Bombyx mori: one gene and its partners. The main gene of each other region encodes a partner of the protein of the gene in region 2 in a complex. Links are inferred from orthologs where the notes say so. Each region holds a gene or a part of one and is shown on either strand. Other genes may lie near its edges.

What was found. Proteins that work in one complex are often made in the same cells at the same time.
Region 1: A-kinase anchor protein 17A (region 2) and uncharacterized protein LOC778507 share a complex: the UniProt entries of both Homo sapiens proteins name them as parts of the spliceosome. The link is inferred for Bombyx mori from reciprocal best matches to the Homo sapiens genes AKAP17A and C9orf78.
Region 3: A-kinase anchor protein 17A (region 2) and nuclear inhibitor of protein phosphatase 1 share a complex: the UniProt entries of both Homo sapiens proteins name them as parts of the spliceosome. The link is inferred for Bombyx mori from reciprocal best matches to the Homo sapiens genes AKAP17A and PPP1R8.

What each region holds. Positions count from the first base shown.
Region 1 is NC_085120.1:2,479,755-2,484,023, reverse strand, and holds the start of uncharacterized protein LOC778507, read left to right. Parts: upstream 1-1,458; coding exon 1,459-1,654; intron 1,655-4,146; coding exon 4,147-4,269. UniProt on the Homo sapiens protein: Plays a role in pre-mRNA splicing by promoting usage of the upstream 3'-splice site at alternative NAGNAG splice sites; these are sites featuring alternative acceptor motifs separated by only a few nucleotides. May also modulate exon inclusion events.
Region 2 is NC_085127.1:13,381,333-13,384,755, reverse strand, and holds part of A-kinase anchor protein 17A, read left to right. Parts: intron 1-714; coding exon 715-798; intron 799-1,823; coding exon 1,824-1,977; intron 1,978-3,423. UniProt on the Homo sapiens protein: Splice factor regulating alternative splice site selection for certain mRNA precursors. Mediates regulation of pre-mRNA splicing in a PKA-dependent manner.
Region 3 is NC_085126.1:4,081,484-4,085,499, reverse strand, and holds the start of nuclear inhibitor of protein phosphatase 1, read right to left. Parts: upstream 2,812-4,016; 5' UTR 2,677-2,811; coding exon 2,648-2,676; intron 2,254-2,647; coding exon 2,039-2,253; intron 1,415-2,038; coding exon 1,306-1,414; intron 480-1,305; coding exon 377-479; intron 1-376. UniProt on the Homo sapiens protein: Inhibitor subunit of the major nuclear protein phosphatase-1 (PP-1). It has RNA-binding activity but does not cleave RNA and may target PP-1 to RNA-associated substrates. May also be involved in pre-mRNA splicing.

The DNA.
Region 1 (4,269 bases), on a different chromosome or scaffold from region 2:
AGGACACCCGGAGGCTTACGTACTTGCGGCCTCGTAACTTGCGACAACAGCAACCGTCTCCATTCGGTGAAGATTACGGGTTGGCCGGCAACCCGCCGAGTACAAAGAGCAGCACGGCTGATCACGGCCCGATACTCTAACGAGCAATCTCGAAGCCACGCTGGCAAACCGGTACCTCCCTTTGGAGGGCGTTACTATGTAGTTGAAGTCGGGAACATAACAACTAGCGACAGGAAGATGCAAAAGTAGCACCGGCTCACTACTAACACAAGTAACACAGAGTACCACTGCACACGGTACGCCGGCAAACCATCGGTGCCATCGGGAGGCTCACTCTCTAAGTGGAGCACTCTTCATCAAATGAAGAGCATTGAGAGCACGGCCCTCCTACTCGACTTCGTGCTGGTTTTGGTCCGCATCGGTGCGATCATATCTCTGGGAATGATGACCAAAAGCTGCCATTATCCGCCTCTCACGGAGGCGCACGGTTGGAGACCAGCAACTCCCTTGGGTTTCATTACATCCTACGTATATTACTGTTGATTGGTCTTTAAAGTAGTTTATGGCGTACCTTGTATTGAGTGATATCAAAGCTAATAGAGATCAGAGTGAGAAAGCTATGAGATATACCTTGAGACATGAGGTAGAAATCTAAATTATGTTGTATAATGGTCATCTTACTCTTCAAACTGGAACGCATGACAGCTTGGCAGTGGATGAAATAACTACCTAATGTGAGCCCTCATAGGCACTATCTCAGTATTTAGGTCGCCAAGTAGTTCTACGTTCTGGTTTGTTAAATGAACGAATTGTTATATTCTACAATTAGCGGTAGGTGACCTCTCGTTGTAGATGTGTACTAGCTCTGGTAATCACTTTATTGAAGTTGGGCCTTGAGCTCGTTCAGACGTCTATGCAATAAATAAATGTAATTTTTCCTTTCATATAATGAATGTATCTAAGTAAATTTTTGTAATTTTACTGAGACTACAGTATATTTTAAAGCATCTTATTTAATTTAATTTCATCATAATTACAGTATAAAATAAATAAATTTCATCTCATTCTTCTCCAAATCATTATTCTCAAAGAGTAAAATTTATTTTAAGTATATTTTATCTAGAGATTTTTATTAACTCAACACTGGCAACAATGACATTGCAAGCAGTCATTCTTTAAAAAAGGGAAATAAGTTATCTATGGTAAAAAGATCAAACATAAATAATGAATATGGCAGATTCAGATTCTCAAGAAAATCGACAAGTCGAAGAAATTAAATTGAAATCTAAGAAGCCTAGAAATCTTCGTACGCGTATCAAAGATGAAGACTCTGATGATGAGGAGCACATTTTGCAAAGACTTCAAGAAACAAAAGAAATTCAGAAACTTCGAGAAAGACCTAATGGGGTGAGCATCATAGCCCTGGCAACCGGCGAGAAAGTAACGTTGGAAGATGAAATGACTTGTAAAGATCCTTTTAAAGTTAAAACTGGCGGGATGATTAACATGCAAGCCCTTAAGAACGGGAAACTGAAGCAGGTGGATGATGCGTATGATACCGGAATAGGCACACAATTTTCAGCGGAAACGAACAAACGCGACGAAGATGAGGAGATGATGAAGTACATCGAAGAACAACTTGCAAAAAGAAAAGGTTAGTTCTACTTGAAAATATTTAACGAGCTTCCAAACATAAAAATTTACATTTTGCTTAAACAGTGGACCCCCGGTAATCCTGCCGCTGTCTAATCTGGCACCCCTTGTAATCCGAAATGTCTATTATTATTGAATATTTTTTGACAGTCTTCGCTAATGTACTTAGATAATGCATGATTGAACAGGTTACAACTGGTATGCGCCATCACTATTGTACTAGACGCTTAGGTATTGTTTTGGTTTTGATAGGTTAGTTTGAATTCGACTACTGATAACAAATAGGCATGCGCCCATTTCAGGCTCCATCTTGACCATGAAAGCTTAAGTTTTTTAAAGTACTTAAATAAAATAAAAGATGCTTATGGCCAGCAAGGGGTGGCTAGAAAGTTTCAAAAGTCGTCATGGCATTCGTAAAGTATTTTTTGTAAGTTTTAAAGTATTACTGACGTTAATTTTATAATAAAACGTAAGGTTTCTCTTGTATTTTTTAATTTACTAAATTCAATATACATAATGAAGTATGATTTGCATTTCAGAATATAACATACAGAATCTTATTACTGGATCTGTAATTTATTGGATTATAAAGTACTCTTTTGTAAAAAAATCTGGACTAAAGGGGGTCTTAGGCAGTACTTGTATAATTCGACAAATGTAATAGGTAGTTTGACACTGCCTTACAAAACGTTTGTCGGATTACAGGGGGTCCACTGTAATTTAATGGTTTTTTATTTCAAGACTGAAATTTAAAATCAATCAATAAAATAGTATTTGCATTTTCCATATCACATCCTTGAGGTTCTGTCACATCATAATCAATTACTAATTTTATAGATCCATTACAAGATCATTAAATAAACAGTATCTACATGTTTTCCTAGAACTCATGTAAATTTGTTTTTTTTTTGTAGGTAGTGGTTGTGACCAGTGTCTAGATGGGATTATATGTATATTTTGATATTACTAATATTACTAACACCTAAGCATATATTACATTAAGCTGCATAAGCACTTATTTGCTAAACTATTCTCATGGTATTATGATAACAACACTCCCAAAAGTACCAATAACAACTATACCAAGTTTCATTGCATCTTGAATGGTTTATATAGGAAGAAGAAAAAAAAAAGAAGAAAAAAACAGACTTAATAAACTTGTTAATATTGCTGCTTAAATGAAAATCTAGTATCAATTATGTAAAATACCACTCACTAAGATTCTATATTTGGTCCGAATCTGTAAAAAATATTGTATTGTAAATACTGTAGTAAGTATATTATACACTCAATTGAATTGCACATACCCTACAGAGACACCCACATCCCAACTTAAACAACGTTTAGACATACATGCCTCTTAGAAATATCATGTATGCTTAAATGAAAATTATTGTTTTTACAGGTTGTATGATATTAAGATAGTATAAGTTAGTTGTTTTGTATCTTTGGGTGCAATATTTGGAGCAGGTTTTATGCATAAGTGTGAAGAGGGCTAACCTCTGTGATACTGTTTTTATTGACTGCAGATATTAATAATTTCTTTTGAAGTCGTCGTGGCCTAAAGGATAAGACGTCCGGTGCATTCGTGTGTAGCGATGCACCGGTGTTCGAATCCCGCAGGCGGGTACCAATTTTTCTAATGAAATACGTACTCAAGAAATGTTCACGATTGACTTCCACGGTGAAGGAATAACATCGTGTAATAAAAATCAAACCCGCAAAATTATAATTTGCGTAATCACTGGTGGTAGGACCTCTTGGGAGTCCGCACGGGTAGGTACCACCACCCCGCCTATTTCCGCCGTGAAGCAGTAATGCGTTTCGGTTCGAAGGGTGGGGTAGCCGTTGTAACTATACTGAGACCTTAGAACTTATATCTCATGGTGGGTGGCGCATTTACGTTGTAGATGTCTATGGGCTCCAGTAACCACTTAACACCAGGTGGGCTGTGAGCTCGTCCACCCATAAAAGCAATAAAAAAAAAAAAAAAAAAGCTTATTGATACTTTATATTTATATCACATCAAAATAATTAGTTGGAAGCATACCCATGAAAAAAAATGTGTGTTACATGCACATAACTTGGGTTACTCAGTAAATAAATGCACAAAGATATGTTGATTGGAAACTTGAAATGGTAAATAGATTGTATAGTTTGTTATTGGTGGTAGGACCTCTTGTGAGTCCGCGCAGGTAGGTACCACCACTCTGCCTATTTCTGCCGTGAAGCAGTAATGCGTTTCGGTTTGAAGGGTGAGGCAGCTGTTGTAACTATACTTGAGACCTTAGAACTTATATCTCAAGTTGGGTGGCGCATTTATGTTGTGGATGTCTATGGGCTCCAGTAACCACTTAACACCAGGTGGGCTGTGAGCATGTCCACCCATCGAAGCAATAAAAAATAAAAATTTAGGTCCCTACATAGCTGATAGTATTATTTATAATCGTTTAGATACTAATATAAAATTAACTTGTGCTTTGTAAATTCCAGAGGGATGTGACAAAGACAATAAAGACCACAACCATACAGAAACACTAAAGTATTTGTCTCCCGAGGAAGCAGCCTTACTTTCCTTGCCAGACCATTTGAGAGTCTCTTCAAATCAGAGGTCAG
Region 2 (3,423 bases):
ATAGTATAGTACAGTGTGAGCGTGTCCATAACAATGTATTCAAATTCAAAATAATTTTAATACAGATTTTCTATATTAAGTTAGTGGAATTGGCCCCCTTAATTATCAAATTGCCGCCTTGTGGGACTTGGGCCCCATGTTGGGAAAAACTGGACTAGAGCTATTAATTTTGTGTAGTGGACAGTAACTAAAAACCAAATATATTTATGTATGTGTAACACAACGAATCTTACGGTCATCTACTTCAATAAAATTGTATAAAATTTTAAGACGTTGTATTTAAACCGAAATGAAAGAGTGCTCTGAGGAATTGTTTGAGATGATCCCCTCATCTCCTTTCTATCATCGCACCTCCCGCCATCGGAGCAAAGTTCATCCATATTATCTGGAACCGCTGCGTTCATCGACAGTGCGTTTCCAGAGGTCTTTTTTGCCACGTACCATCCGGCTATGGAATGAACTCCCCTCCACGGTGTTTCCCGAGCGCTATGACATGTCCTTCTCCAAACGAGGCTTGTGGAGAGTATTAAGCGGTAGACAGCAGCTTGGCTCTGCCCCTGGCATTGCTGACGTCCATGGGCGACGGTAAAAAATCACCATCATGTGGGCTGTATGCTCGTCTGCCTACAAGGGCAATAAAAAAAAACTTGTCAGAGAAGCTTGAAGTCCGGTTTGTTTTAATTGCTAAATAATAATTTTTGAATATGATTTCAGTTCCTGCGATGTACGGGATGGCGAACCCTTACAGCTTCGGGTACCCGGCGTTCATGCCGCCAGGATATGCCTATGGACCGCAAAGTATGAGTATCACAACATTATTTCACACTAATCTTTGTAAACAAACAACTGCACTCAGTCAATTAGTTAAGAGATGTGTGTTCTGTTGGTGCAAGAGACTGATTTACTTTTTAATTAAATTTTTTATTGCTTAGATGGGTGGACGACGGCCCATACTATGTTAAGTGGTTACCGGAGCCCATAGACATCTACAACGTAAATGCCGCCACCCACATCGAGACATGAGTTGTAAGGTCTCACATTTTAATAGTACAACGGCTGCCTCACCCTTCAAACCGAAACGCATTACTGCTTCACGGCATAATTAGGCTGGGTGGTAGTACCTACCCGTGCGGACTCACAAGAAAAACAATAATACATTGACTATTGAAACAAAATGTTATACTGGAATGGACTGAAACTGCTCCGTAGACCAACTGAATGTTACTGTTTGGAACTTGAATCTTATATCCCTGAAGGTAACGATAACCTGGCCTCTGGCAAAGTTCAGGAGTATGGAAAAATTCCAAGGAGTCCAGTGAAGACTGTCGTGAGTCAGATTAAGGTATCCTTCAACCTTATGTGACAATTACTTGCTATACCTCGATACTTTTCTATTGTGTTATCTAACTTCTTTTTATAACAACTATTATTATGATTAAAAATAATCTGGGAACTGCACCACATAATTTATATAATAATACTCATGGTAAAATATTTTAAGAAAGATATTTAAAAAAAAAACTTCCCAAAGAAAGCGGACTTAGTTAATGAATTATTGAACAAATGTATTTTCCAGTCTTTATTTCATGCTTTTGTAGGTCTCCTGTGGTGACTAACTCAACAAAACCGCGAGTCCGGATGTATTGTGACCTTGGGATGTGAGGTGATCAGTAATTCTGATCACATACATAAAATAAGCTAATTATTATTTTTTGTAAACATAGCATTATTAGGAATCACAGTGCCTATTAACAAACAGACCGAATTTAATATATTTTTTGGAATTGATTCGCTTGTTATTAATGTGTGATAAATGTGCGTAGGTTCAATGTACTACCCCCGCGCGGCGTACCCTGCGGAGTGGGCGCGGCGCGCGGGCGGGGCGCGGGGGCGCGGGCGCGGCGTGCGGGGGCGCGGGGGGGCGCGGCCGCGGATGCCGTACTTCGACGGACCGGACGCCACCGCGCAGTACTACAGGTCTGTATCGAGCCGCCCGGGGGTTAATGCCATTTTTTTCATTCGTACCTAGCTGAGCTAAACTTCCTTTTGACTTTTCTCATGGTGGTTTTCTTGGGAAAAATAGTAACGGTATCTTCCCATTCCTTTCCGTCCCAAAACTTTTTAGAAGGGATTTAGCCCCCCTAGGCCAAATCATTGGAGAAAGTTATTGGAGTTGGTGTAAAAACTGGACCAAGGTGGTCACGACCCTCAGTAATAAGGAAGCCACAAAGAAGAAGAAGAAGCAGATAGCCTTGAGAGGCTATTTCAGCGTAACCTTAACTAGTAGGTGAGCTCGCGGGGCTCAAACCTGACGACGTTGCTAACACGAACCCTAGCAGGAGCCGTGCAGAATCTACTACCGGATCGGAAACGCGACTCACTGAGAAGATCCGGCGAGAAACTCAGTGGGCTGTCTATGGGTTAATTTACTCGTCGAGTTTTTTTTTAATTTTTTTTATTGCTTAGATGGGTGGACGAGCTCACAGCCCACCTGGTGTTAAGTGGTTACTGGAGCCCATAGACATCTACAGATCCATAGCCGCAAGCGACGTGTTCGACGAGGACGGTGACCGGTGCTTGAGGTACCTAAAAGCATCGTTAGTGGATCGGGAGGATCCGAAATGACGTGTTTTGGGCGACGTCAACTGTTAACCATTTGGTCCGCAGGATCAGCTATGTAGTTTCCGGAGAGGATTCTCGTGTCGTGCCGCTTTATCGAAGTGGCGCATTGATGCCGACTGTAGATACTTACTGATGGACTCTAGGTCCAGATTGCAAATGATCATCTCACTTTTCGTATCGAAATTCAGAGTGGATGCAGTGTGGGAAAATTGTAATAACTGAGGAAAGATGGATATGTGTATCTCTCTGTTCCACGCTTTAATGGAACTTCACATTGGACTACGTCATGTCTTTAGGAGCTGGTCGAGGGGGTTCCTCCACTGAATACTCGCACAATATTGTGCCTTATTTTGTAGCCACTACAGCACATATTCGTCAAAACAAATATTTTGTGTGTCAATTTGTTCGTGACGTAATGTTAGATTGTGTTGTAACACTGTCCAGTTACCGTTGACACTTCAGGGATGTTGTTTGCTATAGAATCACGTCGTACAACAGGTGGCGCGCGGGGGCTCTGAAAACTTAGTGACAGCTCGCCGAACGTGACCAGGTTCCACTAATCTATATATATAAAAAATAATTGCTGTTCGTTAGTCTCGCTAAAACTCGAAAACGGCTGGACCGATTTTATTTATCGATTGAGGAATTACGAAGTCTACCGGGTCAGCTAGTGAAGTATAATATGTCGGAGACGGTCATTAGTTTGGTAGCTGCAAACACAGCATGATTCCCGAGAGATGGCAGCACGATCGCGGTATCGTCGGAACTCGGCTAAAGGCTTCGTCAAACTGAACGCGTAAT
Region 3 (4,016 bases), on a different chromosome or scaffold from region 2:
GTATTCTAAGCTTATTGCCATACCGACAAGGGCTCCAAAGCATGAAATCGAGAAAGGAGTATTGAAGTCAAATCGAAATCTAACTCAATAATACACATAAATGTAGGATTGGTAAGAACGGAACGTATGAAAAGAGTGTGGAACGGAGCGTTAAGATGTGAGTGAGAGAAAACGGAAAGAAAGGGAGAAGAGAATGACAGATAGAATGACAGAGAATTTGAAGATGGCGAAGACGTTTGAAAAATGAGTAAGACATAATAAAATTAGTGTTAATTATTAATTACTATTATAATAGAAGATTTTGGAATAGTATAACTTTTATTTTATGCGCTGCGATCCCTTTTCTACATAAATTATACTAAGAACAAAATCTTACATCTAGTTCGGTTTGTGTTTCAGGCAGGCCGAGCAATGCTCCTTCAGTTTCTGTATTAGGGAGATCCTCCATTATACCACGCGATGTCCCAGTCGGGCGTTCTCTGTGAACCATTGATACATTAATTAAAAGACACTTCATAATTCAGAATCCATGAACAGAATAAATCATATCGTCTTCTCGCATTAAAACTGTATTATCTCAAAACTTACTAATTTTATAGGAGAGTGTTTTAAAGGTTTAACAGGTTATATTTTTAATATTAATCATCTTTGCAACATTATTTTTTATTTTGTACCAGTTACGTTATCTGTCTTTTAAAGTATGATAAAATTGTGTACATATTAATTTTGTTAATATTTAGTAATGACAATTTAAGTAAACCAACAAAAAAAGGAAACCAAAACTAAACTACGCTGTTTTAACAGTATTTATGAGAAAAATACTGGTGATACCAAATGATTTCGCATATTAACTCAATTTTGAATATTTTTGTAAATTGTACACTTTTAATGCATACAGACGATATATCCATTGCAGACATATTGGAACGGCTTATGGACTATAAGCTGTTCGGTTTCAAAATGGCTTATTCGTTTGCTCATCTAATTCTAATTTCCTCATATTTTGAGCCCACACAATACACCACTTTCTGCCTGTTCCTGTTACAAAAGTTTCATGCATTTCAGTTTTCAGGGGTGGGTCAAGTTATACAGCTCTATTAAGATTAACTGTAGAGTATTGATGAGGGTTCTCATACATATAATATACATATTATTATTCTCCTATGTATAGAAAGGTCAAATTAAATGTAGGTTTACAAAATATACACATGACTGAAATGTTACTCAACATGTCTGCTTAAGCTTATAAATAGTTAGTTAATTTTAATTTATGTTTCTAAAAAGTAATATTTTTTTTGTACTTGCCTTATAATATAATTCCTGGTTGAAGCTCCAAAATGAAAATTAGAATCGATCGGTAATTGTGTTGGTTTGTTTGATTCTAAGCGCATTTTTCCAATATAAGTGCCATGAGCTAAAAAGTTTGTTATGATTTATAGTTCTACAACAAATTATAAGGGAGTGTTGTGAAACACGTAGACAGGTGAACAAACTCAGGGCCATCTAGTTTTAAGTGATTAGCCTAGTACATAGACATAAAAATACTAATAGCACGTATCCTTTATGCATGGAGCAAATGTTTAAATTTTTACTACAAAAGAACACTCAATCTCATAAAACTAGAAGCCGTGACTGCATTCTTGTAAAAAAATATGACACCGACATGTATGGGATTGTAATAAGCCCTCCTACCACTCATGGTACTTAACTCATAGTAGTTTAAGAAGTAATGTCAAATGATTGATTACATCTTTTCTGATTCATTTTTTTTCTTTTTATTTATTAATCTTAGTGAATGAGAAATCAAAGGTTATAAAACTTGAAGCTTCTCACCAAAACATTTATATTGTCAGAGTAAATTTAATTCACTTTTAACTTAATATCCTACAATTTAACACCTAATTTCAGCCCAAGTGAGCAAACATGACATAAAATTATGGGCCTTCATTCAATTAGTTCAAGAAACATTTTTTTTTGCATAGATACCCATATTTGTGATACAAATTCTTATTCATAAAATTATTACGACCATACTCACTACTACCGAGGTCGACTAAAAATGATCTATTCAAATGTTTGTGGTAGACCAGAGCAGCGTGCACCCTAGAGCAGCTAGCATGATCAATGCAGAAGTCATTCATTTGAGGATTCCGTCCAAATAAATAACATTTTTTCTCGTCTATCATTAGTTTCTGAATTAATTTATCTCCTTTTAGAACGTCTAAGTGGAGTCCGGTTGGCGGCTTACCAGCCCTAAAAAGATAATCAATATTAATTATTGGTTTTTATCAATATTAATTTTTGTATTCCACTCAAAATATCATTTAGATAATATCCACTTTTCTAGTATCATATTTCAGTACCTTCCTAATCTTTGAGTAGCAGATGACTTTTAAAGTAAAATTAAAAACTGTATCTATATATTGATAGTACATGCAGTAGTGCTACATTAATTATAAGATAAAATGTTCTATTCATTTGTAACTGATACACTGCTAAACTGCCATATTATTGTTATCAATTATATAGGTTATTTTCTACAAAGACAAAACTAATGAATACATTTTTATTTGAATGCACATCAGGAATTCATTAAAATAAGTAACCCGGCGTCATTATTTTATGGTTATGTTGCTTTTATACATACCAATTGGGCACTTCATAGTGATTTGCCATTATAATTAAAATTTATAACATTATTAACCAGTTTTCAATTATTTACTAGATTAATGGTTGTGTGAAAAAATAAGGTAATGAATGCACCAGTAAAACACTTTTGGCTTGATTTGTGGACCTTTGACAGATGTCTGTAAGTAATAGTAGTTTTATTTTTCCAACTGAAAAGGCAAAGGTATCATACCATACATCCTAATCTTTTATATTTTTTTTTATATATGAAAATGATATCATGAAATGACATGAAGTTGATTAATATGAAACATGGCATGAAATGAAATGAAAACGAAATGGAATGAATGGGATGAGATGATATGGGATGAAACATAATCTCGATAAAATGGTGGTCATATAACGAGAAATATAATGAGGTGGCTATCATGAGCGCACGCTTACTAGAGTGCGCTATGGTAATGATTGCACACGGGTGCTACCTGAGCTAGAGACGCCTTTTTTTGAGGCAGCCATATTTCCTGTAAATCACTGTTTTTTTGGAAGTCAGCAAAATTAAATGTAGAATACTATTAGAATAGAATAGAATTAGAATATTTAAGAAATTATCACGTTATATCACTTTTACTTTTCTACGGAAATTCAAAAATGTTTTCTTCATCATCAGCCTGCGGCAGTCCACTGCTGGACATAGGCCTCCCCCAAAGCTCGCCACTGAACCCGATCTTCGGTTCTACGCATCCAGTTACTGCCAGAAATGTTTTCTATTAGTATTTAATCGAAATAATTCTGATTGACTCAGTTGTGCTAAGGGTCGTGGGTTCGCTTCCCACATCGCGCAAAAATATTGTGTAATGAACAGGTTTGTTCATTATCTAGCTATGTATAGATTTAAACATATTTAAGTATGTTTATCAGTTTCTGGTACCCATAACACAGGAAATTCTAAATTGGGACCAAACAACCGTGCGTGATCTGTTCCCAGTTATAATTTTTATTTAATCAACTTTGGTCCAAATGATATATTGTATGGGATATAGTCCCGTTGCCTATTCAATAGACGAATAGACATCTAAAGTCTATAGTAAGTGTATTATCTATGAAAACTTCGGCCTTAATGAAATTTTTATTTCAGGAAGAAATTATAAAGGACTTAGCTTTGGCCTTAATGACATTTTTATTTCAGGATATATTAATATATATCATATAAGACCTGACTTCGGCTTTTTTGAAAAATTATTTCAGAGAATATATAGAGCAGACAAGGCTGTATGGGCTTAGAACCCCTTGCCTTTCCTAACAACGAAAAAATGTACCAAAAAAAAAAATTCTATGAAAAAGAGTTCACCGAACAAAACAAATAAAAATTATGTTACTTGAAAATAAAA